Linked DNA regions of Oreochromis niloticus. The protein of the gene in region 1 purifies or fractionates together with the protein of each later gene. This does not show direct contact. Links are inferred from orthologs where the notes say so. Each region holds a gene or a part of one and is shown on either strand. Other genes may lie near its edges.

Region 1 (7,903 bases):
CTGACAGATGGAGAGAATAGACAGACTGTTCCCTGTTTGTGAAGGACTGCTAGGAAAGTTTAACATAACTAATTGTCTGTCCTGAATCAGTCTTATTAGGTAATGTTCAAATAATGTTATCATTCCAGTGTTTTCAGTGTGGGAGAAAGTACTCAGGGCCTTCAAGTTACACACTATGAAAGGCAGCAACAAGTTTAATATTCAGAAACCTAAAGTATGTATCAGCAGCAGAATGGAGCTAAAAATAAATGTTTGTTTCAGTTCTATGAAGCTTTGAGTATTTTGGATTAGTAGCACTGCTGTGTTTGTTGCGTCATATTGCTGTAATTGTTTATATGCTTTATATATTCTGAGCTAAGTTGATCTATAGTGTTACATCATATTCTATAAGGATGTTATGTGTTTGTAGACTTTCTGCCCAGTTTGACCCATTTAGCAGAAGTCAGCCTGTTTAAGGCTCTGATATCTATTCTGTATGACTTAAAGCAGTTATGACATGGTCTGATTTTCTCACCCAATAAAGGAATATTTAATATATCAGTCTACTCTTCATTTTATCAGACACAGTTATCACAGCTCGTACATTTTGTTTTTCCACATATATGTAAGCACTGAGCTAAATTTAGTAATGTCAACATATTAAACGAACAATGTTTGTCTCTTATATATAATACATCTGTATATACACTGTCAGAGATACTTGTCTTTGAGTGAAGATTTAAGGAATAGGTAATATAAATAACAGCAACTTGAATCTTTGACCCAGAGTTCAAGCTCACTGCTGTAATATATCCTGTAAAAAAATATATTAAAAAAATAATATATGTATATATATATATATATATATATATGTATATATATATATATATATATATATATATATATATATATATATATATATACATATCATAATAATCTGACAATACATATAATATTGGCCATATTATATTTACATTACCACAGTGAGATGATTTTAGTCTCATGAACAACATTAGCTAATTGTTATTTACTAACTAATCTTGAAATGACTGTTCAGTACAGAAATGAAGCCCAACAATCATGTTTCACAGTCCTGTGGTCTCAGCCTCAGATACTCAACTAATCAAAGTGATGTCATGACAAAAATGATTGACCAACAAAACATTTTTTCTCCTTCATTTATGTCACACAAAGCTGTATGTAACGTTTCTCGCGGTTAGTATCATGGTTGCTAGGCAACCTGAACAGCGCTACGAAGGCTAGACCGTCCCATTTCACAAGCCTCTCACTTCCGCACTTCTTGTACTTATATTACGCACCGTACGTAGTACGTGTAGTGCGCGTACTTCAAGCGTGCGGTCTCTTAATTGGGACACAGCCTAATATACAGCACACGGTGGAGTAGTTACAGCGTTTGTACGTCCTCCACAGTGAAAACGACAAAGTTTTACAGGTTAGAGTGAAAAATGTCTATCATGTATATTTAATCTCTGTAATAATCTGGACATTTATCATTGAGCTATTTGTTTATATAGTGCTATTTCATATTTTTTGTAACTTTGTAATATATTGTATTTAATTTATATATTTAATTTAGTTCAGTCTGTTACTCTTCTTACTCTTATTAATAAAGGATTCTGATTTAGTCATAAGTGTATCAGCAAATTGCTCAGTGAGGTCAGAGCACCGGTTTGACAGCTGTCGCCCCCTGGAGGCCGTCTGAAAGACTGCAGCTTTACCTGAAGCTCCGCCTTCTTTATACTGTCACACTGGCACCCTGGGATGTAGAGTCCAATTAGATTATCAATAATCCAGATCAGTAAGGGTGCCAGCGCCGTGCTGGCAGCCATCTGTAGCCGTGGATATAAGTACAGGTGAGTGTAAGGAGGTCGTGGCACCTTTATGGACACTAGTATTTAAATCCAGCATTAAAGTGCAGGACGCTGCGGCAGGACTCTCCTGTTTATTTCCTTCTTCCTCTTGTCTGAATGTTGAACACTGACGTCCTAACGGCTTTATGATTGGAGGACAGTGTGAGCGTCAGGGTAGTTATCAAAGTGAGCAATGGGGTTTTACTGCAGGATTCTAACCCTAACGGCTAACACAAGATGTGACGTCAAATTGTGCGCTCGACACCAGGACCGGCGACTTGGTGAAACTCTGTTGTTAGTGATCTGACCCTCTACCACTGGATCCTGCTGTTTCCCCTATCTAAAGAAGAAAAACACCCGTGACAAACCAACTCTGTTTCAGAAAGACAGAACTTGTGTCCCAGTGGCCAGTGCTCACTGGAATAACTAATTATACTGGGACCTGGAGTGGAAGAAAATTTGGACCTTATCATCGAAACTCCAGTTAACCAACAAAGTAAAGAAAATATCTTTGAAAATCATTCATCGTTTTGACCCCACCAGAACTTTTCTTGTACGATATAAAAAAAGACTGATGTTAACTGTTCATTTTGTTTCCTGTCAGAATGAAGAGATTGCTCACGTGTCTTTGTCCTGTTTATCTACTTTATCTTTCCTGGTGGGATTTCTGTGCCTTTGTTGTTTCGTTGATCTATTCTGACCGCTCTCTCTGTTATGGAAAAATAATGTTTGGCTTTTTTGACCCTGGAAATAAAGCAAACGAAGTTTATTTGATTAATTTACTAATCTTACTGGCTAAATCTCAATCCAAATTTTCTAATGCAAACCAGGCAATATGTTACAACATTCCCATAAAGCTGCTTGTTTGATATGTTGTTTCAGCCCCAGTCTGTGTCTAACGGCCGCTACACGAACCCCGTGACCGTCTGTGCCCGTGTAATTCTACTAATAAAGTTAAAAAAAAGAAAAAGAAAAAAAAGGCTGTTCTGATTCTCACGCGCGGCTGTTAGCTCTGTAGAAGATGGGAGGGGCTCGGGTGAGGTGGGTGTGGTCAGACCTGGTCGTGGATCTTCTGGCTGTGTTCCGGATCACAGACCAGCACGTGCTCATTGAGGAGCTCCGCCCGGAAGTGACTCCTCTCGCGCGGGCTGAGCGGCAGCGGAGCCTCGAGCTCCTCCGTGACCCGGAGGCGGCGCCGGGGAGCCCGGAAGTCCGCGTGCATGCTCCCTGGTGTCGAACCGGGCTGGCACTGCGGGTCTGGCACTGCTAGCTGTTAGCCTCCGCGCGGTTCGTTTTGCTGTGGCGTCACCGAATCTGTGTCCGACTGGAACTGTCGATCTTCTCCGTGTAGTTCCACCTCCAGTTCTTCTTCTTCTTTTCCCGTAACCCGTTACCGCCCCCTGCGGGCTCCTGTGTGTCATCCTAAATCTGACGAACACTTCCTGTCAGGCTAAAAACGGAAGCTGTGCCTTCGGTAATGAATTCATCCATTCACGCTGCCAGCACCACCTGTGTGGATGCACTCCATCCATCTGCCACTAAAAGCCTCTGAAACAGGGGCGGATCTACGGGGTGGCATGAGGTAGCACCCTAAAATAATCTCTTGCCACCCCTACTGCCTCCTTGGCTTTGCATGTGATAATGTTGTTTATTAAAATAAGTTAGCATTAACACTTTAAGCCTAGCTACAAGTTCACACTAAATATAAATTGTAACACATATTATATTGTATAGTGTCACCCCCGCCCACATCTGTGCCGGAGCACATTTTGAGCAACACCATGGGCATTTCAGATTTCAAACAGGTGGTGTGATGATGAAGGTGAGCGCTATTAACCCTGTGTGTGCTGCGCCTCCAAATCACATGACTGATTTAAGCCGATATAGCTACAAGCTGCAGCCACGCTGAGTCGCTGTTTCAGCTTGTGTTGAAAGTTCAGACTCCAAACTATATATTTGTAAATTTTATTGACAGGCTACTAAAACCAGAGTTATGATTAAAAAAATTATATACACGATGCTTTTTTTTTAATCATAAAAATGCGTTTTCTAAGGACAGCACAAAAAATAAAAGGAAAAAAAAGCCACCAATGTACCAAAAAAATAAAAATAAAAATATGGCAACACGTGGGATTGGTTCATTTAGGAGGAGGGGGAAGTGTTGGAGCAACGGTGGTGAGAGAGAGAGAGGGATATGGACAGCGAGTCTTAAGTTGTGAGAGATTTGTGACGTTTCTCGTGTTTGGAGTGTGTAGTTAGTGTGTTGTGTAGTCATTTGTTTTGTTTTGTGTGTCAGTGAGGGCACTAATGAACGTCACAAAGGCAGACTGCAGTGTAAACGCTGGCTCCAGGACGAGTGATCCACTTCCTGTTGTTAGACCTGCAGGTTTATCCCTGTGGGGTTCTCCTCTGTCTTGTGGTGGACAAACTATTTTTTGCACTGTGGGGCATCTTATTGTGTCACCTGATTGTTCTTTAATTTTAGTTTTAGTAGTATTCTTAAAAGGTTATACAAAAATCACCAGATGCATTGGCTGCATTTTTAGGTCAAAAGTTGTGTATAACTTTATTGTTTATCAAATTTTTGCACGAGTTTTTAAAATAAAATGAACTTTTTCCTACTTGGTTTTTATGTTCTTGTGTGATTTCAGATGAGTTGTATTAATACAGCATGCCAATGAAAAACTAACTGTGAATTCAGACCTTGTGCTGAAAAGAAAAAGGAAATAAAATAAGGCGAGAAAAAATGAATAGTAATAAATATAAAATCAAACATAGTTAAAAATGAGCTGTTGTATCCTGGAGCCCAGCGGGTTAACCCAACGAATCCTGAAAAATTAGGTTTAAATTTTTGGTGAAAAATGTTTCATGACGTGCACATTTCTGACATTTTGTGTAAAATTAACTTGATTATTTGTAATAAAAAGAGTGAAACTGAAGTTAGACTTGTGTTTGTAGCTGAACCATGTTTTGTAGCTTTCTGGATTTTATACTTATTGGGCTGCAAACATATTTATTAAACAGGCTATACAGTACATATATGATGCATATTAGAGAATGTAACACCTACATATGTGTAAATGGCTTTGGTTTCCACGCCAGCCTAGCCGTGCCCCTGCTCTGATAGCATTTTGATTGGTCTGCACTGAATCACAGAAACACCTGAGACCTCAAAGTGTGAAAATCATTCATAGTAAATGTGAGAGCTCAGAGTCAAAGCAGCAAAACTCATTTGTTACTTCAGGAGTTTGAACAACGATACAAATAAAACTTTTTCTGAATAAATACCTGAATATGTGTTGTGTATGTAACACAGCCGTGGTTACCAAAACAAAGTTTTACTTCTGCTTCAGCCGAGAGTCGAACACAGGTCAGTCACAGGCAGTGTTGGTCAAGTTACTTGAAAATAGAAATTAGTTACTATTTACTGATTACTTCTCCAAGAAAGTAATCCCTTTACTTTGCTGATTACTTATTTTCAAAAGTAATTAGTTACTTTATTACTTAGTTACTTTTTAAAAACATGATACAAACCTGAATATGTAATAAAGCAACAGACCTTTCAGCCCAATTCTATTTTTCTGCATAATCCATCATATACAATGGAATCAAATGAAAAAGTCTCTTTTTAAAACTTGTTTTATTTGTTTTAATCTTTTTAATTTTATGCACAACATTAAATTATATTGACTTGAAGAAATATGTTTAACATTTATACCTATTCTGCATATTCCAGCATATAAAATAAAATCATGTTTTGTGTTTACACTCACTCTTTGAAATAGATGCATGTAAAACACAGCAGATTCAGCAGCACTGAGTCCTGTCGCTCTTAAATCTATTGTTCAGCAGGAGTGGGGCGGGTGGAGGTTTGCCCACAGCAGTCATGTCAGTGGGGGGATCCGGGGCTTTCTCTGTGAACGTCACATTCCCGTGGCAGCGTGCTCGGTGCTCGCTCAAATTTAGAAAGAAGTTTTCTTCCCACACAGAGTGCACAGCGGACACTAATGTTTCTGTCACTTTTTACAGAATCAAACTCAAAGTAATGTGAGTACTTCCACGCTTTAAAGGCTGCATGGTCACACTCTCTCCATCACTCCATTGTTGATCTGCACACGTCTGTTGCTGCCACTGAAGCCGCACGCTCGTACGTCATTGTCATGAGACACAAACAAACAAAATCACGGTTTAGTATTGCAGTAATGCAGCGTGCTTACGGGAAGGTAACAGTAATCTAATTACTTTTTTGCAATAGTAATCCCTTACTTTACTCAATCCCTTACATGAAAAAAGTAATCGGATTACTTCAGATTACATATTACTTACTTACTACAAGTTACTGCCCATCTCTACACATTTTAATGCACATGAAGGTGAAACGCTGCGTTCACGGGCCGATAGAAGAACTGGGATTTATAATCAGTGTTAATAATCACTGTTCTTGCACACACTACAATCGTCATGGCGATGACCCACCCGCCACATTCTGCCCCCGAGGGTGAAAACCTGCAGCTCCACGGCAGGAAACAGCAGAGAGCTGCAGGAAGTGCGATTTAAGAAACTTTATTTCAGAATAAAATAAAAGTTGTAATTTCCTCTGAGACCCTCGGTGTGGCTCAGGGACAACAAAAGGTCAAAGTTCACACAACTAACGCTAGGGCTGTTTGATATAACGATATATATCGGATGACGATATAAAAACGTCTATCGTTTCATTTTACGCTATCGTTTGTTTCGTGGTGTCGCAAAATAAACTGTTTACGGCAATATTTTTTCATCATTTTGATGGTCACTGTAGTGGCTATATGAATTTCTTAAAGTTCTGTCTTTCTCTTATATTTAATATAACCACACTACAGACAGACAAGCGCCTGTTTTTATGGGTTGTCGTTAGCAACAACAACGGTAAAACCACGGCATGTCCGCTTGTTTATTTTCCACATAAACCTTTCACAATAAAGCTCAAGATCCTGTTGAGACTTTTCAAAATAAACTGAATCACATGAAAGATGCAGAGTATTTACGGATGAGAAGCAAAAAAAGAGCCGTCAGGTGCTAAAAAAAATAAACCTTAGACTCAAACGTTAGAACAGGCTTTTCCCCGCAGCACGCTGTGTAATAAATACTCACAAAGAAAACGGCGGCCGTTACAACTTATGTCTAAAAATGTATCGTTTCATGCATCAGTTAAAACACTTGACTCCAGGTCCATGACGCCCAGCTGGAAACACTTCACGCAAGTCGAGCTGCCCGAGATTCACAGAATTTACAGAAAATGTTACATTTTTGTGATTTATATCGTTATCGGACGATAGATGTCTTAATATCGGGATATGAGATTTTGGTCATATCGCACAGCCCTAACTAACGCGCTAAAGAAAGAAGGTCAGATGGAGGACGAGCAGCCTCACACACACAGACATGAACCAAAGCTGAGCTCACTACATGAAACAGAGCTGTGTGTGTGTGTGTGTGTGTGTGTGTGAAGGTGAGTTCATTGCACATCAGGTCTGACACTGAAGCGTCACATGTGACCGATGACACACTAACACGGACTCCATTCTGGTCGTGGGTCCGACTAAGTGGTCACAGACACAGTGGGTGAGGCTGGTCTCTAGCTGCTGGGCTCCGCCCCCTGAGCGTGCTGCTGTCGATCCACCGTGTAGAACTGGTGTTTCTGGATGTGCCTGTACAGCGTGGTGTATTTGGACACCCTCCTCATCCTCGGCAGGATGAAGGTGTGGGTGAAGTCGTCTCTGCTCAGAGTGCCGCGGCCCTCGGCCGCCAGAACGCCGTTCACGAAGTGCAAACAGAAGCTGAAGCAGTTATGGTTGTTTTCATCGAACCTGCGACACACAGAGAAAAAAGCTGTCGACAGATTTCTACACCTGTAGGTGATGGTGGTGACGGCGCCGTGGCGACGAACACACCTGTGTCTGGCGACCACCGCGGGTCACCTGGAACCTGTCTAACAGCGAGGGAGGCTCATAACGACAGAAAGCGTACAAGCTTCCTGCCTTCAACCAGCTCTCAAGTATACTGTCAGGTGAGTC
Region 2 (8,236 bases), on another chromosome or scaffold:
AAAGGACACGTCCTTCTTCCAGGTAATACCAGAGACGAGGCGATTCCAGAAGAAGACTGCATGTGCTTAGGAACAGGATCCTCCTGGAACAGAGCTCTGACCTCTTCATCACAGTTTCAACAACATCAGAATTACAGACAAAGAAATGAAAGCTCCAGTTTTAGACAGGATATGAAGAGGAATGACATCACACATGCTTGTAGGAAGCTGAGTAATAATAAATGTGTTGTTTAGAGAGGAGGAAGGAAGTCAGAGCAGCGTTCTCATAAGAGTTAATCATTGAAGATTTCTTTATAAAATGAGTTTGATTCTTCCACAGCTGAAGAGTCAAGGATCCATTCCCAGCTCTACAGCTCACCTGGAGATGCCCGCTGCATGAGTACTGAAGCCTCTCAGAGACCGAGCTCAATGAGCACCGACTGAAACTGAAGTTTAATGAGCCTCGTCTTTGTTGGTCTTTAGTGAGAACGATACCGAACAATGAGATCTCACATTTATTGATGTGAAGACAGAGACCTGCTGCTCTGTAGGAGACGTGAAGTGTTTTAATAGCTAAATGAAATTTGGCCCGAAACTTGTATCGTCTGCTGATTGTGTCAACATCAATTAAGTCACAAACTCCTCGAGGAAACCTTTACAGGTGTCCCTACTGCAGCACACCTGAGTAACATGACGATCATCATGTCACGCGTGAACGTGGGGCATTTCCCAAACACTAACACTTGAGGAGGGTTCGGGGCTGAGCGTGCAGTCAGGTGTTGCTAATGACCTGCTGATGTTACTCAGGTGTGCTGCAGCAGGGACACCTGTAAAGGTTTCAGGCCCTCGAGGACTGGACTCCAACCCCTGATGGGCCCAGACTGTAGTGACAGTCCCCGAGCCGACAAACAGCAGAGGAGCCAGCAGCCTGAGCATGCGCACTTACGGTCCGATCCGAGGCTCACTCCGGCTCTCCGGTCCGTCAGCTGATCCGATCACCGAGCTCTCGAGGGAGCGCCTGCTGCACGCGCCCGGTCCCGACCTGCCGTAAACTGCTGCGGCTGTCGCTGTCCTCCACAGACGGCAGGAGGGCGGACCGGAAACACGAGCGCTCAGACCGGAAGAAGCAGCGCAACTGCCGGGTCACGTGAGCTCCCTGCTCTTTCCTCTGAAAGTGTTTTTAGTCGAACAGCGTAAGAAGTAAAAATGAACACAGACCACGAACAGAGAACAGCAAACGGTCATGATGGGTCATAGGTCGTTTGGACGCGCTGGTGCGTCCGTGGACTCCAGAGGGTTAAATCACAGTTTTTGGTGGTTATAAAAATGCTCTGTGATGATGATGATGATGATGATGGCGGCAGTATGTAACACATGTTTTGATCTGATAAACACACCTGATGTCTGATCCTTGAAGACATCAGTCGTCAGAGATGGACTCCACACAGACGCCGCGTCGACAACACCAACCTCAAGCTTCGGCTTTTGGATCCGATGCTTGGAAACTGCTGAACTCCTCTTCAGTGGATGGAGTCCTGTGGACGTGTCACTACTGCCGCCCAGACTCTGACACAGCCTAATGTTCCTCAGCTTGGCTTTGATGCAGAAACACTCGTTTCACACCCAAGGATCCACTGAGGGCACGACAGTGACCAACCAGAGGACACCGGGCTGTCCTTTGGTAAACTCTGGGACACCTGCTGCTGTTTTTCAGTTTATTAGACACTAAGTTCAAGTGCAGCTGGACACACAGATAACTGGTTAAAGAAGTGTTTGTGTTTATTGTCTTACTGTTTTTAAGGTGTTTCTTAGAGCATGTAGAAAATCCATTCACTGCAAACATGTTAAACAGCAGCTTGACAGAATAAATAATTCTTCTGATAAAATCATGATATCAGTTTAACATAAAGTCAATATAACAGGTGTAAATGTAAACAAACACTTGGTGTTATTTTAACATGAGGTGACAAACACACAAATCATGTTGGTATGAAAGTTGTGCAGTTATACAACAAAGATTATCGTTGACTAAACAACTTTATTTCATCTTAATGAAGCAGATGGTTTGTGTCGGTGCAGGAGAGACCGATGAAGCCACCGAGCATTTCACTGGTTGAAGACAGAAATGTCCACAAACAAACAGCAGCTTTGAGCCGCTGCAGTAAAGGTGGCAGCGCATTAAAGAGCAAAGCAGCACGTGGTGACGTCCATGAGCTGTCAGTGTCGGGAGAGGGTTTGCAACCAAGTGTTAAAAATGAACGTTTTATTTTCACTTATCTTCAGTTACCTTAGAGCCCTGAAATGACGGCGTTGTGTTAGGAAGTCTGTAGCTCCTCACAGTTTTCTGCAGTCTGTGTTTAACTCACTGAGTTAAAGCTGAACGTCTGCACTTCACCTGCATCTGTTTCCTGGAAGATTCAGTTTCAGGTCCAACATTAGAAAACCGTCTGCGTCCAAATACCTGTGGACCTGCCTGTATAAACGATGAGCTGCCCTCATGGTGGAGCTCGTGTGTGTAAAACCATCAGCAAACTGAACAGAGGATCAGGGAGCTGGACCGAGGTCGCCTGGCCCACTTTAATCACTTAGTGATACTGAACACAATTTCCAGCGCCACCTAGAGGAGGAGACCATGACCTGAGGAGCGGCTGTCGGCTTTACTTTGACTGAACTTCTGCTCAAATATGATGCTAACCTCGTGGATCAGATGCTGCTTCAGTAAACTGGGATGTTTGTAGTGTTTCAAAGACGTGTGCGGTCCTGTGGCGGATGCTCTCGATAAATGAGACACAGCGTCTTTGCTTTTCTTTCCTTCTGTCTCACAAACCTGACGATCGGCTTTGCTGTGCTGCTGGGAGCAAACGTTACTGTGAGTCCCAAACTGGTAACTGTTGGATGGACGGAAGCGGTGCAGCTTCTAATCCCGACCACAGAAGGAACATCAGCATCTACATCCAACACACACACCATTTTTCCACACGTCTGAGTTCTGAGTGATTTTTATTACATTCTATCAAAGAACTGGTGATGATGGCCGGCTCATATACATACAGGCAGGAACAGCACACGTATGACAGAGAACATGATGCCTGAGCTGTCGCTGGGATTGCTGCTGTGGATGAACCGCACGCACACACACGCACACACAGCTCCTCCGCTGAGCGACTCTGACATGATTGGTCAGAATTGGCCTCCGATGATGTCTTGTTTCCTTTCGAGTGTTCGATCAGAGCGACTCACCTGCAGCAGCTCCGAGTTTTATTTAAAAGCAAACAAAACTAAATGCTGTGAATGGAGGTCTGTGATTGGTTCTGAGGTGCTCATTAGGGTTCAGCGAAGTTTCCAGCCAGACGTCACCACTGGACACGTAACCATACATCACATGAAGCAGCTGCAGCTGCCATGATGAGCACAAAGATGCACCGACGGACTCAGGTCCAGGTCATGTGACCCGGGTCACCTGGAGCCAGCTTCCAGTTTGGATTCGGGAGACAGACACTATCTCTACTTTCAAGATTAGGCTTCAAACTTTCCTTTTTGCTAAAGCATATAGTTAGGGCTGGACCAGGTGACCCTGAATCCTCCCTTAGTTATGCTGCAATAGACGTAGGCTGCCGGGGATTCCCATGATGCATTGAGTTTTTCCTTTCCAGTCACCTTTCTCACTCACTATGTGTTAACAGACCTCTCTGCATCGAATCATATCTGTTATTAATCTCTGTCTCTCTTCCACAGCATGTCTTTATCCTGTCTTCCTTCTTTCACCCCAACCGGTCGCAGCAGATGGCCCCGCCCCTCGCTGAGCCTGGTTCTGCCGGAGGTTTCTTCCTGTTAAAAGGGAGTTTTTCCTTCCCACTGTCGCCAAAGTGCTTGCTCATAGGGGGTCATATGATTGTTGGGTTTTTCTCTGTATGTATTATTGTAGGATCTACTGTACAATAGAGATTGAAAATGTGACGTCATTCCGGGGTAAAACCGCAAAGGATTTTGGGAATGAGTGGCAAGCCATACTAGCGCAGGCTTTCACATGAAAACAGTCACACAGCGATAAAAAGAAACACAAAGAATGGCAAGAAGCTGTTGTATTATTAACTGCAATAGCCGGTCACATGACAGCTACGGGAAGCCGACGGGTAAAGAGATCGGTTTTTATCGGATTACGTCGTGGAAGAGAAATTGTTCAAGCCATGTTTCCGAAGTAACAAAGAGGCGACGGATGACCTGGATTGCAGCCATTCGAAGACCAAATATAACGTCCCAGAACACTCCAGCTCACATGTTAGTCTGCTCCAAGCATTTCCACAAAGGTACGTCTTCTGTTGTAGTATTACGTAATTTATCATCACATAATTGTTGATGTAGGTTACAAATAAGTCTTATATTGATTTGGATTGAATACGTTGCGCTATGCTGCTTTGTTCACTGTGGCTTTGCGGGCTAATGTTTGTTGTGTTTTGTAGGAAAACCAGCCTACAAAATGCTGGAATGCGATCCAGACTGGGCACCTCTATCACCCTGGGTCAGACCGAGTTTAAAGCTGCTACCACAGCCAGATTTGATCGGTTAAGAGAGAGAGCGACATCAAAACAGCCACGAAACGTCCCGCATATATGTGCCCAAGGGTTGTATTGAAGCAATCAAGTGATGAATAACTGTTTTCCAATGTTGTTTTCCAATGTTGTTTTTTTTTTTTTTGCATTGTTGATTTGTTTTTCACTGAAGCAGCTAATAAAGCATGATGGATTTTTACAATTTTGCCTCTTTCTTGTAAGATTCTATAATAGAATGAAACAATAATGCCAGTTATAAATAAAGATAATAAATTGAATGAATTATGAAACACTTATGTTATTTCTATTAGATCTGAAAATGTTGTGTAATACTACAACCTGAAACGACAAATAGATGCGTTTGCCTGTACAGGAGATAAAGGAAAAAAATGTAACAGCAGCTGTGAAATGGAATAGTCCAAATCACCAAAGTAAACTGGACCTGGGCTTGTTGCAGGGATCTGAAGTTACTAAACATCTTGTGAGTGTCTGCACTCACACTTAGGACCATATAATAATAAATATGTGTGTGATGAAAGTTGGGCAGCACGCTAACGTCCTTACTCCGCTCTGTACGCTCGTACGGGTCTGACCCTTTCACTCCTTTGATTTTTTCCTCGTCCTTTTTTTTTGCCTTTTCGTCAAGTCTGTCTTTGTACGGACCTGCTGTGTTCTCCCTCGTTTTGTACATAACTGTTTTTGGGGCAAATAAAATGCAAGTAGGGATTAAAACTGCAGAATTAATGATTACCGGCGCTGGAAATACTAGCGCCTGATGCAGTGTTTTGATTTTGTTGCCACGGGTACCCACAAAGCAACGCGCGAAAGTCACGTGGTCTGTCGATCTCTATATAAAGCACCTTGAGGCGACTGCTGTTGTGATTTGGCGCTATATAAATAAAACTCAATTGAATAGATTCAAACTGTCGTTTCACCTCTCCTCACACACACACACACGTCCTGTCCTCACACACACACACGTCCTGTCCTCACACACACACACGTCCTGTCCTCAGGCCTTGTGTTGGCGTCTTGTCTCGCATCACCTTTGACAGAAACAAAACTCCGCTGAGTTTGTAACTTTGAACCTGGAGCTGTGTTTGTGACAGAGAGACAGACAGCAGGACTACAGACAGAGAGCTGCTTTATTAACCCGACACGTCTGCGCTTCTCAACAAAACATTTACAGCAGCTGACATCATCAGATCGCAGTGGCGGGGCAGCGTCCAGCTGAAACGGCAGGGCCGAGGGTACGTTTAAGGCTCGTTTGGATTCAGGTAAACACCAGACTCCTGTGATGTCACAGGGCTGAGGTGAGTGTCTGCAGGCAGGAGGAGGTCCTGTCATGTCTGATAAGTTTGTGTTAAAATAAGCACGCGGGACAGATAAGAACGATATGAAACATGATGCTGCGCCCCCAGAGAGGCAGAGCTTAAGGCTTCTCTAAAACCACAGAAGAAGAATCCACACAAACGCAGGCCTGAAGGGCACATGACCCCTCCTCCAGCATCTCCTCATCACGACGCTTCTTAAGGATACTTCCTGGACTCCACAGATCACTTCATACAAGACATAAATATCTGACCTGCTACAGTTGCTGTTACCCGGGTAACGCAGCCCCTTCCCCCTCAGGTGTCCACACTTTTCTGATGAAGTCACAGAGTTCCTGCTCAGCAGCCTGAAGTAAAGTCATTAAAGGGTTAAACGTGTCAGAGACCAGAGGACACTGTGATTGGTCTGCTGCCGGCTCACAGGTGGGCACCTCAGTCCTGCAGACTGGACCTGGGTCACTGACGAGTTTCAAAGCGGAGATACACCTCGGACAGCGACTGACACGGCTTGTGATGAGAGTCTTCACGTTCTGATGCTCAGACACTCAAACCTACAGTGATGTTCTGGCTCCATCTGTTCTGGCTCCTCCTCCGGCAGTGAAATCAGGTTGGGAGCTTCTCTGACCTCCTGAAACGTGACACAGATGGTCACGAGCTGCTGAACGCTCTTTCTGTGTTTCCTGAACATTTCAACAGTCTGCAGGAACACAAACGTCCTGAATGATAAACCCCGCCCTCCTTGACCTCCTGCTGACTGGCTGGTGGGTGGGGTGACAAGGCACTGTGAGGTCATGTAATTGGTGGTTTCTCCTAAAATCCTGGGTGTCTGGGTTCAGTGAGGTTACTGAGAACCAGCACAGACCGATCCAAGTCCAATCACAGCGAGTCCTGGACCTGCGTCTGTAGGCTGAGGCGCTGGGCCAGGGTCAGAGGTCAGGCAGGTGAGGTCGTGAATAGCAGCACAGGTAAACAGGAGAGCAGGCAGCTGTTGCTGGACAACAAAAAGAAAAAAGAAAAACAGTCAGTGAAACCTGCAAACAGAGCTCAGAGTCAGTGAAGACCACAGTGTTCATCAAGCTAATGTTAGCTTTTCAGCTTGTGCTAATGTTCTTGAGATAGCATTAGCAAGTAGCTGTGAGTTAGCTGCGCTGCAGAAACGTGCTGATGTTTCCCAGACGGCACAGCAATGTGTTGACCTCAAACATTCGCCCCATGGGTGGTGGCCCATCTACACCTATACCTACAGTTACATTATAAAATTCAGCGTGTAGGCTGCTACAAACATGTTCAGTGTTGAAAAAATGATCCCTGCATTCCTAGCTCCATGTATGACGGGTTTCAGTACTTCATGTCTTATCACTGTGTCCAGGGGCCCGTTCTTCGTACCTCGCTAAGTAAGTTAGCCGGATTTGAATGTTGACGATTTCGCGTGATCTTGGATCGTTCGGTTCTCCGAAGCTCATCTGGGACTTGCGGTCATAGCAACAGATGCGTAAGCGTAAACCTGCTCGGGAGCAGGCTTACTTTATGTAAACAGGATTAGATCGCGGCCACTCAGGTATGTCCGCTGCAGTTATATGAAAGCAACAGCGATATTTCGCCACTGTTTTACCATAAATAAATATTATCAATGTAACTAAAGATAATGCAGCATTTGATTCTTTTATTGATTTCATACAGATACATACAGGTCATTTCCGAAAAAAAGGGAAATGTACTATTAATCATTCTATTTCATGTATTTGATTATTTCAGATGTAATTCATATTTTAGAGTAGTAATAGTAAATTACTACGTGCAATCAAGATGAGAGACCACGGCTATAAAAGCGAAGGTGGATTTGGGAAGTCTGTCGCAGCCATGTCCTGTCCGTTTGTACGCGAGCAAGGAAGGTGCAAGATTGATAAGGAGAGTTTACAGAATTTAGCGTATATTGCGGGATAGACAGGATCCTTTAGCTCAGCGCGACGGTGTGCTCATAGAGAGATATCGATTCTCCCGTCAGGGTATTATTTACTTTCTTCCTCTCTCTCTCTCTATATATATATATACTTACTGTACTGTATATACTTACTCCCGACTTACTGTGCATGCTTCAGTCACCCCTTGCATGGGAACAGGTAAAAGTGATGGAGTGTTATGTCAAACTACACACAAAAAACCCCACAATGTCAATAAATGTCACAGTACAAAAAGGGGTGTGACGAGGGGGTGCAGGACCACCACCTGTCTTTATTTGCTCTGCCCTTTTCTTGGTTGCTGTTATAAACAAACAAACAGATTATTCCAGGGTCTCTTGTCATAGACTAAAAGCAATATAAGTGATAAATATTACCATTCTGTAGAATATTCTTATATTTCACTTTTACTTTTTCC
Region 3 (7,924 bases), on another chromosome or scaffold:
ACTGTGTTGAAAAAGTATTTTCCCGCTGCCAGATTTCTTAATTTTGGGTATATTTGTCACAATTACATGTTTCAGATTAAACAAATTTTAATATTAGACTAAGGTAACCTGAGTAAATTGAAAAAAACAAAACAAAAAACAAACAAACAAACAACAAAAAAAAAAACCACTTAAATGATGATTTCATTTATTAAGGGAAAAAAAGCTATCTAAACTTACCTGTGTGAAAAAGTAATCTGCTCCCTTATTGAATCATAAACTGAATCACTAACTATGATTAACCACATTTTCTGGAAAGCTGAGCTCAATTTTACTAGCCACACCCAGGTATGATTACTACAAGACCTGTTGAATCAAGAAATACAGATCCTGTATGACAACGTGAAGTGGGCTAAAAGCAATACATTATGCTATGATCTAAAAGAACAGTTGTGAAACAAACTGACTTCCATGGGAGAGTTCAAACGAGAAAACCACTGCTAACAAAAAATAAAGCAAAGGCTCATCTCACATTTGGCAGAAAACAACTTAATAATCCCCAAGACCTGTGGACTAATGAGATAAAAACTGGAACTATTTTGATCAGCAGTCAAACATGGTGGTGGTAGTATGATAGTCTAGGGTGCTGTAATTCATGGAACCTCTATGCTCTCTATGAGAAAATCCTGAAGGAGGGTGTCTATCAGTTCAAGTGCACTTAGCTTATGCAGCAGGATAATGACACAAAACATGCCACCACGTCCACCTCTGAATTAAAGATTTTGGTGTGGCTTACTTAAAGCCTGGACTTAAATCAAATTGAGATGCTTGGAAACCCTCCAGTGTGGATAAATTAAAACTATTCTGCAAAGAAAAGTCATCCACAATTCCTCCAAAGTGATGTGAAAGTTATTCGCAGTTATTACAAACCTAAGTATTTTCTAAGTATTTTCCTGGAAATGATGGCACAACCAGTCACTAGATTTAAGGAGCAAATATGTTTTTCACACAAGGCCAGGAAGGTTTGGATAGTTTTTCCCTTAAATAAATGAAGGGAGCAATTCAGTGCTCTCAATTCTGTGCAGAAATCTTTATGTTCTGACGTTTATTGCAATAACTTGAATTAACACCAGTGACAGTAAACAACTGAAAGACTAATGTTCTTTTTCTTTGTACAGATATTAAAACAGACACCAGGATTTTTTTCCAGAACTTGTGAATCTGATAAAACAGAAAAAGCCACATGGACAGATCAACAGGGGGATCATCACAGCTATAAAGCTAAATAAACAAAGTAGATGCTGTACATGCTTTAGCATTACTTTGGACAAAATCAAGACAAACTGAGTCTGCAGGCTGTAATATGCAATATTCTAAATACCAGCCAACTGTTTGATATTTATAATGATAATTCCACTTGATCTTACCCCGCTCTGTCCAACATCCAGTTCCACGAATGTTGGCCTCCTTCCAACCCTCACAGCATAGCTGAGAAGCATCCGACACACCGTTGACTTCCCAACATCTGTCGGTCCCACCACCATCACCTGAGGGTCGATTTATTATTTAGTATTAATCCAAGAAGTATTCATGGGATCTGACAAGTTCCTGAATGAAGTAGTTCCCCAGTCAAACGTACCCTTGGTCCTCTCTCATTGTCACGCTCTGCTTGTTTTCTCATCTGTTCAAGGGCTGCATGTGTGTTTAGGTAGAGCAGCATGGGTGTATCCTTGGACACATAAGCAACCTGCGATGGTGACAGCAAGACGATGGTTATTTGTGGCTTTGCCTTTTTTACCCAAAGTAAAACACACAATGATGTGACAAAACGTAACACAACAGACACATTTGAACTTTCCCAAATCTGCAAGGATTCCCATCCACATGCTTACCTCTGGCTTCCCATAAAGATTCACACTGCAGCCTTGCCAAGTGAAAACCGCAATCTTGGAGCCTGGTCCAAATGTATACTTTTTGTTTCGGTTTAGCTCGGAGCCAAACACCTCAGCCATTCCTGTGAGGAGCTCCAGTTCAACTTGTTCAGCTGCTTCCCCCGACTCCACCTCAAAGCGAAGTTCAGTCTCCTTTTCCAGGTCATACCTGGTGCTGGCCTTTCCAGCTGCTGGAGCATCTTCACTCGTCTTTTCCACCCCCTCTGTTGCCATGACTGTCAACAAGAAACTTCAGGTTGCAATAACTTGGCAGAAGTAGCATGCTGAAAAGCAAAAGTTACATGCATACCATACATAAAGTAGTAATACGACAAAACATTACACACAGCTTCTCTAATAAAGCAATGCTTAAAGGAAAGTGTGTTAACACAGATGTTTATTAAGTATTTACAAATTAAAGTCACAAGCTAACTACTGAAGTCCCATAACTTTTTAATAACACTAATTTTAACTCTAGCATTACCCTTCACATTATTTTAAATTTGGTGTTTGAACATTGTATGCATAAAGGATAAACTTGACCACACAGAGTAACAGATCCAATTGTTTAAATATTGTGCTCGGTGTTTTCCGGCAGGATTATTCAATGTCAGATCACGACATTTTTTGAACATTTTCTGCTTGACCATTTTCGATTTCCCTGAAAGTTTTATGGTCCAAAGTTGGTCCATATATTTTCACATATTAATTCTTTGAAAAGGGTTTTCTATATATGAGACTATAAGTTCACAGCAATAATATAATATAACAAAACTTTGGACCGTAAGATTTTTATGCAACTCGATGTAGTCCAGCAGAAGGCCCACGATAATTTGAAATGGAAGGACACTTCAGTGATTTTGTCCTAAAACCACGGCGGTGGGATTAATCTTGGCTACCTGATAAGCCAAATTGCAAAAACACACCTGATTACGGACAATGATAGGTTCAAATAAAGTTAAGAGGGAAACCAGTTAAATCAACAAACCAGCTAGCGGAGCCACCGGGGGTAATTCGACCTTTCTAAGACTAGCAAAGGTCGAATGACTGCTTACAAACCCGTTAGATAATTCTCGCAACGTCAAGCAAAAGTCTAAAACGTAATAATTTGTAATATATAAAAGTTACGCACCAATTTCAAGACTTGTTGTAGAAAGAAATCGGTCCCGTGCTCATGAGGAACCGTTGAAGTGTCTGGTCGCGTGATAATGACGTCACATCCTGGCAACTATTAAAACAAAATGTTCGTTTGCCAAAAACGGAAGACTTTGAATCCTTTTTGTGTGTCTGCTATCCTTGCTTATATTGATATAAAAAACAAAACAAAATTTCGCAAACACTTAGCAGACGATCACTTTTTGGGTGTCATTGTGTGACGTCCTCACAACGCGACGTGTTTATATTAGTTTTGCACGTGTGACACAAAATTCATTATAGCATCTACTTTGTGACAGGAATGTTTTTCTACAAGAACTTTACTATGAAATGGGAAAATTCTGTATTTTGTTTCTTTCGAAGGCAAAAAATGAGGATGTATACTTTATAATAAACCTGTTAGTTATCTTAGCTAAATTTTATTTCCACAAATGCAAATACAACCTAATTTTAAACAGTACTATAATGATAGTCTATCTTACATAAAATTGATTAGTGGTTCACTTAATAAAAAGGCTATAAAAACAATTATTATTTGTACTAATTAAAAATTATCTGAATGTATGTAACGTTTTACATTACACCCCCTGGCATATGTTAATTATGTTTCAATTTGTATACACTCTCTGTATACTGTTGCTTAATAAAGTTCTATTAAAAAATTGGGGTGGGGGATTTGGGATGGCTTGATTTCATTCACACAAGAGACGCTTGACAGATAATAGATTACACAGATTAACAAATCTTCTTTCATTTCGCCACAACGGATTGTGTCTCTATCTCACTCTATCCCTAGCATTCTCCATGGTCACGCAAATCCTCTGCATGTCTTCCTTCACTACCTTCTCTGTGGTCTTGCTCTTTCCTCCTGCTTGGAAATTCCAGATTGAACATACTTTATCCAATGTACCCATTTCACATGTTCAAACCATCTCAGCCTTTCCTCTTTAACTTTGTCTCCAATCTGCTCAACCTCAACTGTTCTTCTGATATACTAATTTCTAAAGTCCAACAAGTGTTTTAAAACTGTTTAAATACCTGCAACCATTTTTAGCAAATATTTGCAATCACGTTTTGGCAATTACTTTTTTGCATAACACTACCAGAGCCCTCAAATTACTAATTAAGGGCACTGCTTGGGTTAATGCAATTAGACAACCTTCTGAAATATGCTACAAGGTACTTTGTCAGCTGTTTAAAACTATTAACCATTTCAATTAGTAAAATTTACTTTATTTGCCAAGAGTTCAACACACAAAATGCATCTCTAGTTTTCTTCTCCACACTTCCTGAATTTAAATAAGAAAAACTTTCCATAAAACAGATGAGTGTTTGGATAGACTTATAACAAAATACACACAATTACCAAAAAAAGATTTTATTTCTCAAAAAACAAAACAGACATAAAACCACTACTGAACTTTTGTGAAACAACAGTAAACAGCAGTAATGTGTCAGAGAAATGCTTTGGCTCAGCTAAGCTCCACTAGGTGTCACCGTGCACCCAGAAGATGGCAGCAGTTAGAGCATGGCTCATCAGAGGAGGGACTGAGAACATCTCCTTGGTCACTTCTCGTCATTTTTGCTTCCACTGGCTGCATCTCCAGAATGCTGGGCTGCAAATAATATGGGAAACGTTTTGTTAAAAAGACACTTGTACGCAACTGTTGTTCACTGAATAGCTGCATTACAATTCATACTGAAGACATTTTGACTTGATTCTCTTTACAGGGCTACATAAGTTAGCAGTTTAATGTGAAGAAAAAGTAAAGTTGCATTTTCTTATTTTGTATCTGTTTGTTTTATGCATTCATTATTCAGTCAAACTGCTTTGCCAAACCTTCACTGGGTGTCTAAGCCTTCAGAGCCTCCTGCAGAGCAGAAACTACCACTTCAGGCTGTGGAAACTTCAGCTTACGAGGTGGGCCCTTCTTTATTCCAGTCCACAGAGATGTTTCTTTAGGAATCGGGAAGAAAGTGTCATTTGTATCATTATTTTACACTGAAGGATCCATATTGCTGAGTAAGCGTGTTTACCTTTGCCCCCGTCCTGCAGAGTGATCTCGAAGCTGTTCCTGCGAGGTTTCTCAGGGTTGAGGACCACAGTCAGTTCAGGGCAGGCAGCCAGGAGGGCGGATTTCACCTCCTCAGCATTACGCCCGTACACTCGTCAGCTTTTACTGCCAGAAGTGAGACATCAAGATTACACCTTGTTGCAGATTTAAATAGTTGAGTTACAAAGTGAACTGTGATGTTATCCATTTTGCTTCTGGTTTAATAATAATATAAACAGATTTCATGAGAACCATTGTTTTTTTTCCACCTAATCAATACATTCACCTCTGATACTTAAACACTTGGATTTTTATTTGTGATTAAGTATTTTAAAACAACGGCTATATTTACTCACTTTACATAAAAGCAATTAGCATTTCCTTCACCACTGATTATAATGTGATTAAAAAAAAATACCAGTGTTCAATGACCACCCTGAGGCCTTCCTGGCTGCTTTCATCGTCTCCTCTGCCCTTCTTTTCCTCCACTGAAGGTTTCTCCTCCTCTACCTGAACTTCTGCTTTGCGCTTCTTCCCACCACGACCTAAAAACACACATGTGTAGTTTTGTGTTTGGCTATTTCTTGAATTTGTGTCTCCATATCTCATTTATCCTCTGTCCTTTTGACCATGACCCAGAATTCAATCAGACCGCACAATACTGAATGGAAAATTTCTAAAAACATCAATAGGACAGAGAAGAGAGTAGCCTGCACAAGAAGCTACATTTCAGGACTCAAGGGTGTATCTGTAGTGGCAGCTTGTCGAAAAGTGAAATTCAAAATTCACAATCAAAAGGCCAGTGATGCACAATGTGCAAGTAAAGTATGTAGAAGAAAAAAGAAGTCAATTTCCCAAAAGAAAAAATACATGCAGTTCATCGATTTACTTGATCCTTTGCAAGCAGCTGGCTCCTGTTGCTTCCTTTGCCATGGTTAAATAAAACCATAGGCCCTCCCTGGTGCATGCTGGTCCTATGCCCGCCCACCTACTTATTTAGCCTGAGGTGTCTTTGGCCTTACTAGAGTCTTACAAAAGCCCAAAATAAAGCAATCATCCATCCACCATTCCATCCATCTTCTTCTGCTTATTCAATTCAGGATTGCAGCTGGGTGTGAGACTCCCAGCTCAAATAGGGCGACAGGGAGTTTACACTGTGGGCAGATCGCCAGTTTGTCACAGGACTCAAGATGAACTAAACAACACAACCATTAAACAACGAACCACTACATAGCTCCAACAGTAATCTTTTCAAAGGTTTAAACAGCTGGAAAATACAAACCATGGTGGGAAAAGAGCTCCTTAAACAACTAGTTCTTTCTGTTTAGGTTACATGAGATGGTCACTGAATTGAAATAACGGAAGCCCTAAATACACAAAGATGCAATTACCACCGTTACATTAGAGGTCTTACAATACAGCAGTACAAAATAATTTCGGATGCAGCTGTGCTACATGTCATATTTAATGTATAGCATAATAAAATGAAGAAAAGAGTTCTGTTTTATAAATGCCCAATGCTCCAACTCCTCCTGTCATGCCCTTGGTGGGAGGAGAGTGAGTAGAGGAGGACTCAGGCACGTGCAGGCTGAGAAGTTTCATAACCCAACAGATAGTAATAATAATGACCCATTTAATGCGTCGTTGCATAATAAACATGGTCAGAAAGGTCAGCGCGCCGACTCCTGCTAGATTTAACGAGTTCAGAAAGTGAATAATGTACATATCTTCGCAGTTACTACTTTGCTCCTGCATGTAGCCATTCAGCTAAATGACCTACAAAGACAGGCAGAAACAGTCATGGGAATGATAACCGCTGCATCAAAATGGTACAACCCTCTTCCTCCTCAGTATATCAACCGGAGACAAACTCCGTTACAGCTTTTGTTGTAGAAAAAAAATCACGGTATTGTTTACATTCCTATAACACACACCCACCTGCTTTGGACGCCATTGCTGTTACAAAACTTTGGCGCGCGCATGTCGACTGTACCAATATATCTGGGAAGGGGGTTTCAGTTTGGCTGGACGAAACCATTAATGGGAAGTTTTCCGAGCATGAATGAAAATAAGATCTACCGTTATTATTTCTAATGTCATAAATGTGTTAATATAACTACTGTAATTTAACTAAAACTGCATTTAAAGTGCAAATACAAACCTTTTGTTAAACACCTACAGCAATAAAGTGTTCTTTCATTATCTTTGTAAGTAGCTATATACATATATACATGAACAGGAACATGTTTTTTTTGTATGGTGACACACTTAAGCATATACAGTTAAAGCAGTGAATGCGTGTTACCTGATTTAAAGGGTTATGCGTGTTGCTGCCTGAGTAAATTAAACATGTTTTTGTGTTTATCTCTGTCCTGCTGATTTACATTTAGGAAAAGGTCAAAAGTGCAACACAGTGATGTGGTGGTTACCACTGTTGCTTTGCAGAATGAATGTCCAGTCTTTGATTCAAGCAGTCTTCAGCCTCTTCCCAAAGTCCAAAAACATGCATTGGGTTAAGTTAATTAGACTAACTGGCGATTCTAAATTGGCTGTAGGTGTAAATGTGAATATTAATGGTTGACTGTTTCTCCATTTTAGCCCTGCGATAGATTGGTGATCTCTAAAGGGTGTACCCTACCTCTTGACCAAGGACAACTGGGATGGGCTTCAGACCCCCTGTGACCCATAATAAAGAAAGTGGATGGATAGAAAAACCATCATTTATTGTTGTATCAAGTCATCCAGTTGAGCACAGAAAAAAATCATTCTTGCATAAAACAATAAGTCTTTGGCTAGGGTAAGTAA
Region 4 (7,933 bases), on another chromosome or scaffold:
AGAATTATTGCAGTATATAGGAGCATCAGTACCTCCCCCTGATGCACCTCCATCATTAACCCTCCACCACCATGCTTGACAGTTTGTAGGTGGTGTCTGTGCTGGTATGCTGTTTGGTTTTCAGCAATGCATGGAAAGTGGAAAAATATCTCCACTTTGGCTTCATCTGTTCGGAGGACATTGTTCCCCAAGTCTTGTGTTTGTTCAGATGGAGCTGTGCTGGCATGTTCTTTCAAAGTGAGCAGGTCTTCTCCTGATAACCTTTCCAAACAGGCCATAATGGCTCCGTCTGTTTCTAACTTTGATGTCATGAAGTTTAACATTTAACATGCTGACACTGATGTAGAGTCTGAGATTGCACGGTCTTAGTTTACTGAGATGTCCACTACTGAGACGATCGCATCATTATCTTTCTCACAGGAGGAGGATGGACATCAAAGTGTTTTAAAGGGCTTTGTAACTCTTCCCAGATTGATGAGCAGCAATAATTACTTATTTAATATCACTGCTGACATCTTTCATCCTTTGTGCTGAAAAATATCATCAGTGCTCTCTGGTGGACACAAAATTTAATGGCCTCAATTTCAAAATGATTGCAAGCACAACTTCTGCTTGTTGAATTATTGGCAAACACACTATATACACCAACACAGGTATCTCTGCACTGCACTCCAAAATTAATAAAAGAACGTTTTAACGATTTTTTTGGTACTTATAAAGTCTACAAACTGAAGCGGGAAACAATTTGCAACTTTTATCGACAAGCTGAGTTAGTTGGCGTGCTAACTCAGACCTTCGTCAGCAGCCATTTTTGAAACAGGTGTTACTAATCACATTAATCAAAGCTCTGCATTTAGTAACACCTGTTTACTTACCATTTCCAGCCAAAATGCCTGCTGTGGAAAAACACCTTTAACATTCATAACATCCCTCAAATCATACTTCAGCATTGGCACCAAGTTTTTAAAAAATAAAGCAATGTTTACCTTAGGTCCTTTTTTTTAAAAAATTAAGAAAGAATACATTTTGAACTATTAGTCTTTCTCACACCTGATGTTTATTTCAAAATAAGGCACATTTGTTTTTTTACAATAAATAAAACAATCACTGACATTTATAATAGGTCTTAATAATTGTGTTTAAGGGATTCATGTCAAAAACCAATGTGTTGACATGGATTATAAACCATAGGCGTAAATTTCAGGGGGACACGTGCACACAGCCTCCCCCAAAATATTAGACTTGAGACACTATCCCCTTGTGTCTACTTTCTGCGTTGCTTTTTAGACAAACAAGAGACATTTCCCTCATGAACAAATGCAGAAAAGGTACAAAATGAAAATAATGAAATGAAGTGTCTGATCTAACCCACTGGACAGCTTCGGAAAAATCAAAGGAGTGCATAGATTATGAACTTTTAGCTGTATCTTCATTAGTGTTACAGCTTTGCCATTCACACCACAAATGACAGATAAGTTCCTGTTTTCCTACAATCTACTATAGAAATGTCTGTTTTTGTTTTACAACAAACAAAGATCATTTTCCTTAAATTAACAAAGACTTTATATTTCAGAATTGCAGGACAGTCTGGGTAATGAACTACCTTTTCAGGAACTACTTTTCCTGTAATTTTTCACATTTATCATATATATATTCACTGGCTTCGTAGCTGTAAGTTTTGTGGATGCAGACTCATCTGGCCCCATTGAAAGGTTTCTATGGAGGCATGGAAACGAGATATGGCATCCCTGATTTCATTGTGAAAGCTTCTAGTCAACTCTGTAGTGTGCATACACTGCAGCAAACAAACCACACCACTCCAGATTGTAACAGGAGTTCAACTGTCATTAAAAAAGGAATGTTACTTCTAATCTCTGCACCCTTTTCTTAAGGTTAATTTTATCTCTTTGCCTTAACCTATCAACATGCATCTGAGGTGAACTTCACGATGCCAAAGGTCTCCGCAAGGTCGTCCTAACAATCACATACTCCCGCTTAAGGGGTCCTGTGGGGCTGTTTTCCATTTTTGAGCAATACATCACATTCTCAGTCAGCTGCTCAGCGCTGCTGCCGTCTCTTCCGGTGCTGACGGCGTCCCACATCCTGAAAAGGTCCTACAGGAGGGTCCGGCGTCACCAGGCCGTCAGTCATCCTCTGGTAGACCAGCGTGGAGTCAGCGGCTACTGCACACAGCAGCATAGGAAAGCCTCTGTCCAGGACGTGTCGTATGCTGCACAGCAGAAAAGGAAGAAGCCGTAAGACTCAGAGGTTTGGGAGGGTAACCTGTGAGGGTGAAAGTGTGGGAGCTTGACCAGCGTCTTAACACCTTTTGTGAGTCACAGACTGGTGAGCAGGCAGGGGAAGGATCGTCAGAGTGGGTGCGCCTTCCTTCTCCCTCGCTTCCAGTAAAACCACCTGCAGCTCAGGACTCTTCACGCAGGACACCTCCTTCCAGCGCCGCACTGCAGAGAGCAAGCTCAGTGTGAGTATGAGCTTAAGTTATGACATCAAGTTTTTCCTTCTGTAAGAAAGGAGGAAGAGCTGGGAGATGTAAGGAGTCCAGGATACACCACACAGGGAATCTCAAACTGACTCCCGTGTTTCAGAACCCTGCCAAACTCACCCTCAGTAAGATCCATGTACACAAGAAAAGCTGCATGCACCTGAGCGCTGTCCCCAACCTGCAGGTCCTTCATCTGCTGGTACTGAGAGACACACACACACACAGATTACTCACAGTACATTCCGGGCAGACTCCCTGCCTGCACACACGGAGCTGCTCTAACACTCACCGCGGGATGCTGCAGGATCCAGTTCGGAGGAGGGCGTTTCTCTCCGCCTGACGCTCCCGACATGTTCGTTACCAAACAAAGCTGCAAGCGAAACACCGGCTCAATAACCACTACGTGACGCCATGCTGTTGAAACGGCACGCTGTCACCCAGTGCGACTGTTAAAATCGTCCGTGCGGAAACGTTTTTGTTGTCCGTGCAAAACACGTACGCAGACAGGAGACATCACCTTTCGGGGGCTTTTTTTTTTTTTTTTTTTTTTTTAAGTCAATCATTTCTTTTCATCATGCTAGTCCTAAAATTAACTTATAGGTAAATACTGGGCAAAGGTTTTGAGCCACACATCATTTCTTTGTATTTTGCTTCCGAGGAGACTGCCTCTCCTATTATTTTTAAAGTGGTCCTAACAATACTTCTCCAGACTCTGAAAAAAATAGGAGTTTTTATTTAATTTAATTTGATTTTATGTATGTTTGCAAAATATAAAAAGATGAGTGGTGACTCGGGAGTTTTGCTCAGTACTCTATGCACTAAATTAGTTCCTGCATCGTTATAATTACTTTTTACTGACATCTAATGAACTGCTTCCACCAACTGATCTTATATAAAAGAAAGAAAGAATACAAAACTGCATTTACAGCTGCCTGATGACTTTATTCATTTTAGCGAGACATTGTCTCATCAAAAAATAATAAACAGTAACATTAATGTCGATGTTTAATTTGCAGACTCGCAAAGCCTGGGATCTTTAGATATATGAGCGCCACTGCAACAAACACTATTAGAGACATTATTGTTCAGTTAAATGACCTGGAGCCTCTCATCCACACACTGACAGAGACATTACTGTAATTCTACATAATGTGATTGACTCCATAACCAGAGTCTATATTCAGTCTTTGATCACTTTTTTATTGAATCATATTTTGTCATTTTTGTTTTCGCAGTCGGAGCCCATGCATCGCTCCTGTGTCACTTGCTCTCTCTTCACCCTTTCCTCTACCCAATAAATTCTCCTGAAACCAAGAACCTGTGCTTAAAAAATAGATTTACTGTATTCCGGTGTTTAATGTCAGTTGTGTGTCCAATTCACAGGTTACAGTTCTACGAATACTTCACCTTAAAAACAAAAATCCAACAACATTTAATGACATCATTTAAGGCTGGGGAAAAGCTTTCCGGTTATGATGCACTATTTTGCTGACCAGCCATTTATTCGCCTGAAATCTGAAACCAGTCTTAGACCAAAGGGAGAGGATGTCATCCATAGCATTAATGCTACACTGACAGCTGCGAACGGCAAGTGTGACATTTGAAAATCTCATAATATTTTATCCATAATAGTAAAAATGCCCACAAGATTTCTGGACTCTGATGAAACTGGTACCAGTTGGAAGTTTTACTGACAGTTTGAAACTGGGTGCTGATGAGTTAAGTTCCAGAGGAGCACAGAGCTCAATCACTGGCTGGAAGGTGAAGCTTGAGAAGTTCTAGTGCATATTGTCATACTGCTGGAAAGTTCGGCCTTCTTGTAGGTAGTGAAGAGCCTATGAATCTGAGAAATGCAGATTCATAGTATAAGAATCTTTTGAGATAATTCTGTTATGATCATTTGTGTGCTGGAAAAGCCATTAAAATATGTTTTGAAAAATGTATTTGCTTGCTTGCATTTTTCACAGTCCTCCTCTCAGCTGTAGGCTGTGGCTATAGACATTCAGACTGTGACTATAGATGAGGTTGTCTGCTTCCTCTGACACTGCAACATCTGGAAGCATGTGCAGACTTAAACTGTGCACTGAGGACTTTCATTGTTAAAAACAACTTATCTATAGTGAACAGGAAGGACTTAAATTGATGATGGCTGTTGTCGCCCTCTAGGTGGTGCAGCAAAAACTGCAATAGGTGTGCCGTTCTTGCACCCCATCCATGCACACACACACACACACACACACACACACACACACACACACACACACACACACACACACACAGAGAGAGATATGAACTCTGAGGATGTTTACATGTGTCATGTTGAACTCGCTGCCTGGGCTGAGGCCCCATTTAACTCTACTCATTTCCTTTCCCGTGTGGTGTGTGATTTTTCTTCTGAGATGAAACGCTGTCTAGTCCCAGCTTTAGATATCAAGAAAAATAATATTTGTGTACAAACCTCCTGGAGTGTCGGTGTGAATACTTTTTAAAATGGGGACTAGAAAAGAAAAAAGAAAACGTTTAACAGCCATAATTATATAAACAGACCAGCTGATCCAGAGTCAAGTCAGAAGTTGTTTGAGGACTTCCTAGTAATCCTGGCTTCCACACCTCAAGACTGGCAAATAATAGTGTATCAGTTTTTCCAAAATAAAGTTTGTTTAGGAACAATACATTGTGTGTAGCCATGATTAAACATCCAGCCAAGTTTAAGTGATAAATGCCTGGAAGTGCTCCTCAGAGTTAACATGCAGGAACATATGGCAATGTAGAAGAGTGGCTGTCAAGAAGTCATTCTTAAGGAAGGAAAACAGGGAAAAAGGCCGAGGTATGCCAAATTGCACAATAACTGGTCTGGAAATCAGTGGGAACAGGTGTGATGGAGAGATTACTCTAAATTTACAAGTTTTGGTTGAAACCATTGTCATTATGTATCGAGGAGGCCAGGAGAGAGCTACAACAGTGGGTGTCTACAGCCGTCTGTAAAACACGGTGGAGGGTCTGTCATGGTTTAGAGCTGCGTTTCAGCCAGTACTGTTGGAGACCTTGTTAAAATTGGTGGACTTATGAATGCAGAAAACTTTTTAAGGTTGACGCTGACAGAAACTGAGAGACTATATATAACCTACATTCAACATCTGTTAGAGCTATAATGGAAAAGGAAACAATGGGACTTTTTTTTTTTTTTTAAACTATCTTTACAATCATGTACTTCACAAACTGATTTGAAACTTACTGTGAACGCACCAAACTCTGTGTGTTCAGGTGTGACGTGTCCTCTGCTGCAAAAGTGCTGAGTGCTGAGTGCATTGTACATTATGGAGTCAGTAACCTGGCCCAACCTATATTTGTGTGGGGCTCTAATTATGGGATAGTGATAATATATAGCATCATAGTTTCATTTCATGCTATGTAAATATCCACTTATAGGGAGAGAAGTATCTTTATTAAAACATGAATTCCAAGTCTATTATTTTCTGTTTTATTTAATCTGGTGTGATAACTGTAGTAATGACAGTCCGTTAGTTTTATTAGATCATGGCAAGAAACATATCTGTTATAGATGCTGTGTTATAGAAGTCTGTTATAAGGCCATTAAATATAAAATCAGTAGTTAAAGGAAGCAGATTTTTTTTTTCATGGTGGCAACACTATGAAAATGCATTATTGAAATGAACTATGCCAATTCAAGAGAAAAAGCTCTGTTAGAGACAAGAAGGAGTCCTTGATCAGATACTACAACTCCTCTGCTGACAGTAACACCACATTTAATACCACGTTCAAATGCCATGTTAGCTAAAGCACTGAGTCACGGGAGGTAACAGTGCTTTGCTTAAAGCCACCCGAACTATGACCTTTAATTGAGGTTTCTGCTCATTGAAATGGTTGACATTTCATAAAGTATGACATGCTTTGAAAACCTTCAGGGAAATACTACAGTCATATACTACTGTTATTAACTCATTGATTAGCATGCCTATTAGCATATTAAGCTATGATTTTAAGTGTAGTGGAAAGTAGTTTTAGCATCATAGTTTTTGAGAAGTTATTGCTACATTTGTGTTGTGTTGCAGTTTATTTATATCATAAAGATAAAGGTTTAACAAATCTGCTGAATAACCTGAAAAAAAACATTCTGTAATTACAAATGTGCACGAGTTTGTATACAATACATGGACTGTATGTAGGTCTGTGTATGTAGATGGAGTTATGATATATTCAAAGTGAGCATCAGAATGGGGAGGAAAGGTGACTTAGATGACTTTGAACATGGCATAGTTGCTGGTGCTGGATGGTCTGTCTGAGTATTTCACAAACCGCTAATCGGCCGGGATTTTCCCCACACAACCATCTCTATGGTTTACAGAGAAGAAGAAAATATCCAGTGAGCTGCAGTTTGCCCAGCGAAAATGCCTCATTGATGCTAGAGGTCGGAAGAGAATGGCTTTGAGCTGATAAGAAGGTAACATTAACTCAAACAAGCATTTGTTCAAGTCTGCGAGAGAGCATCTCTGAAAGCACAGCACATTGAACCTTGATGGGCAACAGCAGCAGAAGACCACAGCAGTTGTCACTCCTGTCAGCCGAGAACAAAAAATTGAGGCTGAAAATTACACAGACTCACCAAAATTGGATAAAAATTAGAAAAACATTGCGTTGTGTGTTGAGTGTCAATTTGTGCTGTGATATTTGGATAGTAGCTTTTGGCATAACCAACACAAAAGCATGGATGCATCACGTCTTGTATCAACAATTCAGGCTGGTGATATTTTCTTGGCATACTTCGGGGTACAAACTGTGCCTTGTATGAACACCACAGCCTACTTGCCAAAAATCCATCCCTTTATGGCCACGGTGTTTCCATCTTCTGCTGGAACAGAATGTCATAAATACTCTCAAACTTGTTTCTTGAACAATCTTGAGTCGAGTTCACCGCATTCAAATATCCCCGACGGTTAACAAACCTCAGTCCATTAGAGCACCTTTGGGATGTGGTGAACCAGGAGACTTTCATCACAGATATGCAGCCAACAAATCTGCAGCTCAATTCAGTTCTATTCAATTCATATAGCGCAAAATCACAACAGAGGTCATTTCAAGGTGTTTTATATTGTAAGGTAAAGATCCTACAATAATACAGAGAAAACCCAACAATCAAACGACCATCTCTGGTCAAGCACTTGGCAACAGGAAAAACACTCTTAACAGGAAGTAACCGCCAGCAGAACCAGGGTCGGGCAGGGCATCTGTCCCAAACAGTTTGGGATGAGGGGAGCAAGACAATATGGACCAAAATCTCTGGGGAATGTTTCCAGCACCTTGTTGATTCTATGCTACAAATAATTAAGGGAGAATGAAAGAAAAGGAGATTTGCAAAGTGTACCTATTAAACTGGGTAGTGAGCCTGTTTTTCCCCTAAAGTGAGGGTTG

Evidence for each region.
Region 2: the proteins of tsen2 (region 1) and tsen34 purify together in Homo sapiens (affinity purification with mass spectrometry; 3 studies listed by BioGRID and IntAct, counting the BioPlex papers as one, with this or other methods). This does not show direct contact. The link is inferred for Oreochromis niloticus from reciprocal best matches to the Homo sapiens genes TSEN2 and TSEN34.
Region 3: the proteins of tsen2 (region 1) and clp1 purify together in Homo sapiens (affinity purification with mass spectrometry; 3 studies listed by BioGRID and IntAct, counting the BioPlex papers as one, with this or other methods). This does not show direct contact. The link is inferred for Oreochromis niloticus from reciprocal best matches to the Homo sapiens genes TSEN2 and CLP1.
Region 4: the proteins of tsen2 (region 1) and tsen15 purify together in Homo sapiens (affinity purification with mass spectrometry; 4 studies listed by BioGRID and IntAct, counting the BioPlex papers as one, with this or other methods). This does not show direct contact. The link is inferred for Oreochromis niloticus from reciprocal best matches to the Homo sapiens genes TSEN2 and TSEN15.

What each region holds. Positions count from the first base shown.
Region 1 is NC_031970.2:1,298,239-1,306,141, forward strand, and holds the start of tsen2 (tRNA-splicing endonuclease subunit Sen2), read right to left. Parts: upstream 3,272-7,903; 5' UTR 3,073-3,271; coding exon 2,908-3,072; intron 1-2,907. Other genes in the region: MKRN2 opposite strand protein, read right to left, coding at 7,465-7,696.
Region 2 is NC_031979.2:39,751,966-39,760,201, reverse strand, and holds the start of tsen34 (tRNA-splicing endonuclease subunit Sen34), read right to left. Parts: upstream 3,130-8,236; 5' UTR 926-3,129; intron 666-925; exon of another isoform or gene 359-665; intron 104-358; exon of another isoform or gene 1-103. UniProt on the Homo sapiens protein: Constitutes one of the two catalytic subunit of the tRNA-splicing endonuclease complex, a complex responsible for identification and cleavage of the splice sites in pre-tRNA. It cleaves pre-tRNA at the 5'- and 3'-splice sites to release the intron.
Region 3 is NC_031966.2:22,597,470-22,605,393, forward strand, and holds the start of clp1 (polyribonucleotide 5'-hydroxyl-kinase Clp1), read right to left. Parts: upstream 3,214-7,924; 5' UTR 3,043-3,213; intron 2,195-3,042; 5' UTR 2,145-2,194; coding exon 1,872-2,144; intron 1,727-1,871; coding exon 1,619-1,726; intron 1,527-1,618; coding exon 1,407-1,526; intron 1-1,406. UniProt on the Homo sapiens protein: Polynucleotide kinase that can phosphorylate the 5'-hydroxyl groups of double-stranded RNA (dsRNA), single-stranded RNA (ssRNA), double-stranded DNA (dsDNA) and double-stranded DNA:RNA hybrids. dsRNA is phosphorylated more efficiently than dsDNA, and the RNA component of a DNA:RNA hybrid is phosphorylated more efficiently than the DNA component.
Region 4 is NC_031982.2:10,347,929-10,355,861, reverse strand, and holds tsen15 (tRNA-splicing endonuclease subunit Sen15), read right to left. Parts: upstream 3,010-7,933; 5' UTR 2,856-3,009; coding exon 2,793-2,855; intron 2,706-2,792; coding exon 2,624-2,705; intron 2,463-2,623; coding exon 2,327-2,462; intron 2,231-2,326; coding exon 2,059-2,230; 3' UTR 1,035-2,058; downstream 1-1,034. UniProt on the Homo sapiens protein: Non-catalytic subunit of the tRNA-splicing endonuclease complex, a complex responsible for identification and cleavage of the splice sites in pre-tRNA. It cleaves pre-tRNA at the 5' and 3' splice sites to release the intron.